Schizosaccharomyces pombe: one gene and its partner. The gene in region 1 interacts genetically with each later gene. Each region holds a gene or a part of one and is shown on either strand. Other genes may lie near its edges.

The links.
Region 2: mutations in SPOM_SPBC2A9.03 (region 1) and psu2 together harm fitness more than expected from each alone (negative genetic interaction), as found in Schizosaccharomyces pombe (one large-scale study listed by BioGRID).

What each region holds. Positions count from the first base shown.
Region 1 is NC_003423.3:2,948,792-2,953,097, reverse strand, and holds SPOM_SPBC2A9.03 (WD repeat-containing protein), read right to left. Parts: upstream 2,021-4,306; 5' UTR 1,939-2,020; coding exon 1,902-1,938; exon of another isoform or gene 1,845-1,901; coding exon 601-1,844; 3' UTR 542-600; downstream 1-541. Other genes in the region: san1 (RING finger protein), read left to right, coding at 1-282; SPOM_SPBC2A9.02 (NAD-dependent epimerase/dehydratase family protein), read right to left, coding at 3,563-4,306.
Region 2 is NC_003423.3:3,465,677-3,469,911, reverse strand, and holds psu2 (beta-glucosidase Psu2), read left to right. Parts: upstream 1-2,094; 5' UTR 2,095-2,382; coding exon 2,383-3,342; 3' UTR 3,343-3,642; downstream 3,643-4,235. Other genes in the region: cullin 1 adaptor protein Pop1, read right to left, coding at 1-569; mpi1 (mannose-6-phosphate isomerase), read right to left, coding at 3,760-4,235.

The DNA of each region.
Region 1 (4,306 bases):
GGTGATACTAGCAAGGTTTCGTCGGGAACTAGCACTCCTCGAATGGCTGCTCCGATTGCTAGACGATCAAATCGGCATCATCCGTATAGCAGACCTAGCTCAACGCGTCCTCAGTGTCAGCTTGAGGATCAAGGCATTTGTGATCCTAATGATAGATTTGTGCACTTCGAATGCGGTCATTCAGTACATGAAAGATGCCAGCAATCTACTAGCAACTCCGAAAATCAAATGGACGAAGAAATTGGAGAATGCCCAAAATGTCGTAATGAAGAGCATAAGTAATGTTTGTGTTTTTTTACTCTTTTGTTATCTTTATCATGAAAAATATAGTTGTTTGTTTATTATGCCTTTTTAAATCTTCAATACAAATTTGGTGATGTCCCTTTAGAGTATCAATATTTCATGCTATATAGATTTTTATTGTTTTTGTATTATTTATATCTCAATACTTATCATCTATATTATTTGCTCTCCTATAAACTAAATGATTATTTGACTATTACAAAAAATCTCATTATTTTTTTCAACGTTCATTAATAGTTTTGTTTGGTACCAAGGAATTTATTATTATAAGATTAAATGACTCAATGAGTTAAAGAATTAAAATATGAAAGATAGCGGATGTTGTAAAGGTCTCCTAAATTCTAAAATGCCACCCAACATGGGATCGTCTACACCAATAAATAAACTGTCGCCAGAAGATGAGTAAGCGGTTCCGGCGATTTCTCCAAAAAAGTCAATAACTTGGGATGTATTAAATAATTTAGTATCAAAAAGTTGAACAAAATCGGCTTGTTCCGTGACAGCTAAGCTTTCACCTAATGGAGAAAAGCACAAATTCGTCACAGCACTCATTTGGCTACCTAGATTTCGAAACGACTTACCAAGGGCACGTATGTCCCAAACTTTAGCCGTTGTATCTTGTCCTCCAGTAGCCAAAATATTTCCATTTGGATGCCACGAACCAGTAAGTACAGAGTCGGAATGGGGAAGTTTGGCTGAAACGGAATTTGATCTAATATCTATTAACATGGCGTCTTTCGAATCCGTGCATACAAGCGCTAATGGAGTTTCATCAAAAAGTTGGACGCAGTTAACAGCATTTGAACACCTGTAAACAAGAATGGGGCTAGTACGCTGGACATCTTCCACATAAACAGCACCATCATTACAGCCAAGGATGAATTTTTTTTCGGAAAAAAGTTGAATATGATTAATCGAATCATCTGAAAGCTTACGAGTACTAAAACTTCCGTTTTTAAAATTGAAAATACAATATTGTCCATACAATGTTCCCAGACATCCTACGGCATTTGTAGTATCCAAACATGATATCGCTTTTTTCTGAAGGATATTATTCTTAAGGTCAATGATTTGAACAGAATTATCATGCAATGTGTTTTCCATTCTGATGCTGTTATTGCTCACATAAATGACAGAATGCTCACCAACCACCTTTACGCTTTTGCAAAGATGGTGATGATTCCGCAAGCAATTAGGATTTTTCAAAAATCTTTGAAATTCATAAAACGAGTCTTCAGCGGCGACTTGTACAGTATCTAGCGATAGCTCTTCGGGTGACCAGTCTGAATGATTGCAAGACAGGCTATAAGTGTGTAATCGATAAAGACGAAAGTTTTTCCGTTTACCAATTGCTTTATTTCCCCAGGGAATTCCTTGAAAATCCACTGTCCCACAATTATCGGTGCTTTTTGGGTTCAATTCAAAATTTGATGCAGTGGGGAATCCATAGTGGTCTAACTGAATTAAATTCCGGTTTCCTGTATACCAAGAAGTGTAAAAATAATCATCTAGATAATCTTGAAGTATAGCTCCACTTTCAGCTAGTTTTAGCATTAGCTTTCAGAGCAACCAACGGACTGCACGTTTAATTTACTTACGAAGCAAATACTGGTCTATAAATTCTCCATTGGACATATAGAAATATTTAATTTAAAATAAATATTATCTGTATGGCTGTAGAACAAAAAGGAAATCAAATAAAAAATTAGAGAAGGACAAGATCGCCTCATGGAAGAAATGAGAGAAGGACAATCGACGTTGCAAGGACCAATTGACTCTTTCGCTAACGATTTTCGGCAATTAATCTTAAAGATTTTATACGTATGAACCTAAGTGAAAACAAAATAAGCATAAAGAGGTCTTTAGCTCAAAGGTATAAAATTATCATAAACAGAGGCGTAACCAAAATTGCAAAGCCAATTTCGTTTGTCAATGGACGAAAACCTCCAATTGATCTTTCTAAGTTTTAAAAATCACCAATGTTGATCGTTTTGAATTTAAACAAATATACATACTTAAAGAGGTACGGCCAAAACATTAACCATTATGCTGAAGCATCACTGAAAAGAAAAGCTCGCTAATTATTTTGGATTTATTTAAGGTTTTTTGAAGAGAATGAAATCCTTCAGAATATAGAGAACGAAGTTGATTCACGAAGCCGAAGGTGGACGTCTCCATTGAGTAATATGTACGAGAAACACTTGCAATCTAAATCTACATTGCAACTCTATCAATTTCCAAAACGATCCTGATTTAGGGTAGATGTCTTGGTTTGCTATCGGCTGGGCTCGTTTCTCTATAGGATTTTACTTTTCTGGTTTTACCATTCTATATAAAATTAAGACTAGGATGTTAACAGACTTAATTTAATCCATACGATTAGTCTTTAAGTAATGTTACCTCAAATTAAAAGCATTCCATTCAAAATTTATATTATTGTTGCTTATTGTAAAACTAACACCCAAGAATTCGCATTTAAATTGGTCCCTTTTGGAAAAAGGATAAATAGTTTTTCATAAATCAAAAGCTTTTTGAAGCAATTACAAAGATTGCCCTCCCACAGGTCGGTAATCGTAATTTGAAATTACAGAAGAACGTTTTACTATAACCTTTTTAAATATATAAAAAAAAGCAAATAAAGTAATTCTAATAAACAATATTATGCCTACGAGCACACTAGACGAAAACAGCAGTTTCTGTCCGACCACTGTATTTGAGGTCGAAGGGTTTTACGTTAGTTCGGTACTACAGAGCTTCTTTTCCTATTAATTTCCTATCTCATAGTGACAACTATAATTTTCACTGTACTTTGTGGATTTGAAGGTTCATTGTCATCAATATTTGTCAAATCACGTTTATAGCCAACACAACACCATTAGTATCAAAAGTGGGATTTTGCAAAGCGAACAAAAAGAGCAAGATTTACAATTTTCAAAAAAAAAGTGAGAAACTCGCATTTTTGGCTAGAGTTTATTAGTGGCCTAGTATATTCACGCGTCTGTAATGTTTCAAATGGATAATAATTCATCTATAAACCAAAATCAAATCAAAACGTAAAGCAACTCCAACACAAATATTAGCATATTCTCTAAATTGATGTTTAAACAATCAATCAATATAGGACTTCTGTCTACAAATATAGTAATATATTTTGCAAGCAAAAATGCTCCAATATTGACAAAAGCATAAAGGCACAAACTCCTCCTTTCGAATGAACTTAGCAATCATTATTGAGTTGACATTATTCTTCCATCTGAGCTTAAAAGTACGCATCACTGGCCAAATCAGTCATTAGTGTAGAATGCGTAGGCTTCCAACCTAAACGTTGCTGCGTAAGAATACTTGAAGTTGGATTATCAACAGACAAAAAGCTGGAAAGAAATCCAAAATGTTCGGTGGCTTCTTCAGAAGATACGGAGATGACAGGTATATCAAGTCGTTTGCCAATCATGCCTGCGATTTCTTTGATCGGAATACCTTCTTCGGCAACAGCATGATAAATGGAACCAGCAGTTTCTTTTTCTAGAGCTAATACAAACAAATTAGCAGCATCAGTTCTATGAACGGCAGGCCAACAATTCATACCATTACCGATATAAGCAGAAACACCTTTATTTTTGGCCACGTTAATGAGCATGGGCACAAATGCGTGATCTCCTGCTCCATGAACGGTAGGTGGAAGGCGAAGGATTGAAGCACGTACTCCTTGAGATGCAAATTTAAGAGTTGTCACCTCTCCTAATTGGCGTGGAATTGGTGGTTGGGGAACTTCACTTATCTCGGTGCCTAACTTACCGTTGGAAGAAAGCACAGCGGTTACAGAAGTGGTAATCAAAGGACGCTCAGTTCCTCTAAGGACTTCGCCGATAGCTTCAATGACACGAGCGTCAAGCTTACAGGCCTCTTGATATATACTAAAGTCGTGAACGAAAGCCGTGTGAATAACGCCATCACATTGCGCTACTCCTTTTTTCAGTGTATCCAAATCTTCAAGTGTACCAAT
Region 2 (4,235 bases), 520 kb from region 1:
GAATTATTTGGTGCATCAAGTGAGAATGTTGTTTCACTAGCGACTTCCTTACTGTCACAGTTGTTTGGGTAGAAAACGTTCGAGTAGTTAGTAGAAGGAAAAGTTTCATTCTTTTTATTCCCATCACTTTGAGAATTGAAGAGAAACCGCTTATTAGCATGCAAATTAGAGCTGAGACTAGAGTTACGGCGTTTAAGGCACTTTTCGCGATGCTCTGACGGCAGCTCACAACTCAAATGGGGCCGGTTAAGATCACAATGTAGATATAAAAGATTTTGCAAGTTTTCCAAATTTTCTTTATCAGATAAACATCGATTGTTAGTAAATATCATCGATTGCTGACTTCCCTTGCTATCAAATTGTAGACTAACACGACTAAGCTCCTCGGGAATTCTGGTCATTATATTATTTCCTTCCAGGAGATCTTTTTTAGTGGAACATGGAGAAAATCTCTCGACATTTGGCCGGGGAGAAGAGGAAACATCAATACTCGGTGATACCATAGTTGTCTCACCGAAAAATTCATTGGAATCTAAAACAGATAGGCTATCTTTTTTCTTCTCATTCATTTCAAGTAGTTTACAGACACTTAGTAGAAAAGTATTTGTCAAGTTCTTTTATGATGTTAGAGAACCTGGTTCAAGAATCGATACTGATGAATTTACTTAAAACAACTGCCCGTTGGGAAACATGTATATGAAATTATTTTGCAAATAGTTATCGTCTTAATGCATTAGAGCAATACTTTTTCTTGGTTTTTTTGAAGTTCAGCGAGATAGATCGTAAAGACCATAAACTCTTGGCAATGAATTTTAAATTCACTCTACGCAAGCGGAGGTGTAAGTAACACCAGAATAAGTAACAATTTTACTGTTGATTAAGAAAAGTTTTTATAGTTTATGGTAAATACGACTAAATCGCGACATAACAATAGTTCAATAAGAAAAGTTATATGACTTAGTTATGGCTCCTCAATATTATTTTTTTTTACATTATTTGCGATAGTGTTTTAATTGTATACCAGATATTAACCTCCTCAGCATTTTCAAATAAATTCTCTAAAGACAAAAACAATGAACACGTGAAGTATTCATATTATAAAATTGTCTTTTCCGTTGCGTTTTTGCAGCTAAAGAATGCAGACACAATAGTAGCTCGCGAATTTCATTACACGCCAATAAAGTTGGGAAAGAGATTACCCTCCCCTGTCATATTCTAAATGACACGGACACATATAATAATTTATTAATAAAATTTGAGCATGAGCGTAAAATGTAAAATGTCAGACTAAGATGGCGTTTCTAGTACATCATTTTCTTAGGCCGTTGAAAGAAATTTTTTGTCTCGTCAATGACATGCATCGGGTAATTTCGGCAGGCATTGGGCTATTATTCGACTTCTCTCCATTCAAAATTTGACTTAATCTCAGTATCCAAAGAAGCGTCAAATACGCTACCAAGATAAATAATTAAATTGTTATCCGTAAAAGTTCTTAGCATAGCAAACCGATAAACCGAGTGTAAACACGATATTAATTAATTAATATTATATCATATTTAATGAGCTGCAGAACATCATTTGCCGAAATGCACCGAGCCTCTTATATCTAGGATGATTTGTATGTACCAGATTACTTTCCCAAGAGATTATTAAATATATTTAATAGTATTAGGAGAAAATCAATATAACGTTGAGTCGAGCCAACGTATTTGTAAGTTAGGTATACAGGGATGTCATTAGGCTTACGTACACCGCGCAATTCAATTGCAAAAGGCCCAGGGGACCAAGAACTTCCTTATGATAAGAAAGCTAAAGCGATAAACAAAAATTAAATTACTTGGCTTGGAAATAATAATAATTTGCTTTGAAATGAATGATTGAACGCCCCGCGACCCCGGGACAGTATAAATTTTCCTGGGGTAGATCAAATTCACGCATTTAATTGGTTGAATTTATCAACTGACTTTTAAGTTCATTTTTAATTAAGTTATCAGCCAATGAATACAAAGCCGATAGCAAGGCAAGCAATGATTGGAGCGCAATAGTTGACTGTTTTGGCGCTAATTATTTCGGGTTTATGGTTAGAAATTTTCTGAAAAAATCAACGTTGAAAACTTACAGGCTTTCATGGTTAATTAGTGGCAAAACGCCACGGCTCTTAATCAAAAGATGGTGAAGTGCTTGAAAAAAGAAATGTATATAAAGCTGAGCTGATTTTTAGGGAAAAGCCGTGAGCTGAAATTAAACAATCAGAACCGCAAAAGGTAAAGACCATTATATTCTTTACCATCTTTCTTTTATTTTCTAGTATCAAGTTACTAGCATATCCTATCGTTTATAAAGTCAATCGTTAGATTCCTGTCAAATCTTTTAAATCTAAAAATGCTCTTTAACAACTTTCTTTGTTTTGCGGTTTCCGCCATTCCTTTGGTTTCAGCTATGCCTCTTGGTAATGCTCCCTATCACCATCACCATCATGCCGGTTTGAATGCTAGCAATATAACTGTTGGTGTCAATGTCACAAACACTACCGCTTTTTCAAAAAGAGACGGTGGTTTTCCTGACGGCGTATACGACTGCTCCTCTTTTCCTGATGATCAAAATGGCGTTGTCCGCCTTGATTACTTAGGTTTTGGAGGATGGTCTGGTGTTCAGAAGAATGATGGTAAATACGGAACAGCTTCTACATGCCAAGATAACACATACTGTTCCTATGCATGCAAGCCCGGAATGTCTAAGACCCAATGGCCGTCTGAGCAGCCTGACAATGGCGTTTCCGTTGGTGGTTTGTATTGCAAGAACGGTAAATTATATCTCACCCAGAAGGATAATTCTAATCTTTGTGAAGATGGAAAGGGTACTGCCTATGTTAAAAATACATTGAGTTCCAATGTCGCAATTTGCCGTACCGATTACCCCGGAACTGAGAACATGAATATCCCTACCAATATTGATGGTGGTTCAAAACAACCTCTTTCTGATGTTGATGAAGATTCATACTATAATTGGGGAGGAAAGAAGACATCCGCTCAATACTATGTTAATAAATCTGGCAGAAGTGCAGAAGATGTCTGTGTTTGGGGTAATGAGGGCGATGATTATGGCAATTGGGCTCCTATGAACTTCGGGTCTGGTTACACTGACGGCAAGACTTGGCTTTCTATGTCTTTCAATCCTTTATCATCTGCTAAACTTGATTACAATATCCGTATTAAATCTGATGGTGGGTCCCTTAGTGGTGATTGCTACTATGAAGACGGATCATTCCATGGTTCCACCGCTGACAGCAGTGGTTGTACAGTCTCTGTCACCGGAGGCAATGCCTACTTTGAGTTGTACTAAATTGCGTGTTAAAAGTGGATGCTTGGTCAAAAAAATTTGTTTATTAGAATTATTTTTGCATTCGTTTTACTTTTGTCATTCCCATTTTTATGCTTTATTTCGTTGTTGATTAGTTTTCGCATTTTTTTTCTGGTTTCATTTTTTTTATTTTTTTCATTTTTTTCATTTTTCTTCTGGATTCATTTTTTATTTTATTTTTGGGGTTCATCTTCTTCATTTCATTTTTTTGTCTATATTTCTTCTCTACATTTTGTTACATTTCTTAAAAACGCTCATTATTTATGCATTGCATCTACGAAAAAATAAATTTGTTTTTACTTAATTTTGTCCATCCTATCCAGTATCGTTAAAAATTTAAAAATTCCATGTATTGTTTTATTATAATGGTGCTGATAGTAGTAAAAAGCTGCAGAGTAACTAAATCTCACAGAATGCCTGGTAAACGACAACAGGTTCTGAAGTCGCAGAGATCGTTAATGGAAAATTTGCGGAAATAAAATAAACAAATCCAGGAGATATCGATGCTACATCTCCTTTGTCTCCATTCAATATGCCTGAACCCTCAGTAACAAGTAAAATGCTAGGGCCATTGATTCCGCGTATGCATTGTTTTTGACCAGGAGAAACCTTGGTTTGCAAAATGCTAAACTCTTCGATCGGGGGATCATATAACAGAGTTTTGCCAGATCCACAAGCTTTGGCAAATGGTACAGGTTGGGTAAGTTGGGATTTGGCATCCGCAGTCTGATAAGTGAGATTATTTACGAGAGTTTCTATGTCCTTAAACTTTGGCGTAAAGCCAAGACGGATAACGTTATCACTGGCAGCCATGCACTCAATTATATTTCCAGAAACATAAGCATGTGGATCTAAGGCACGAAGAAAAACGGCTT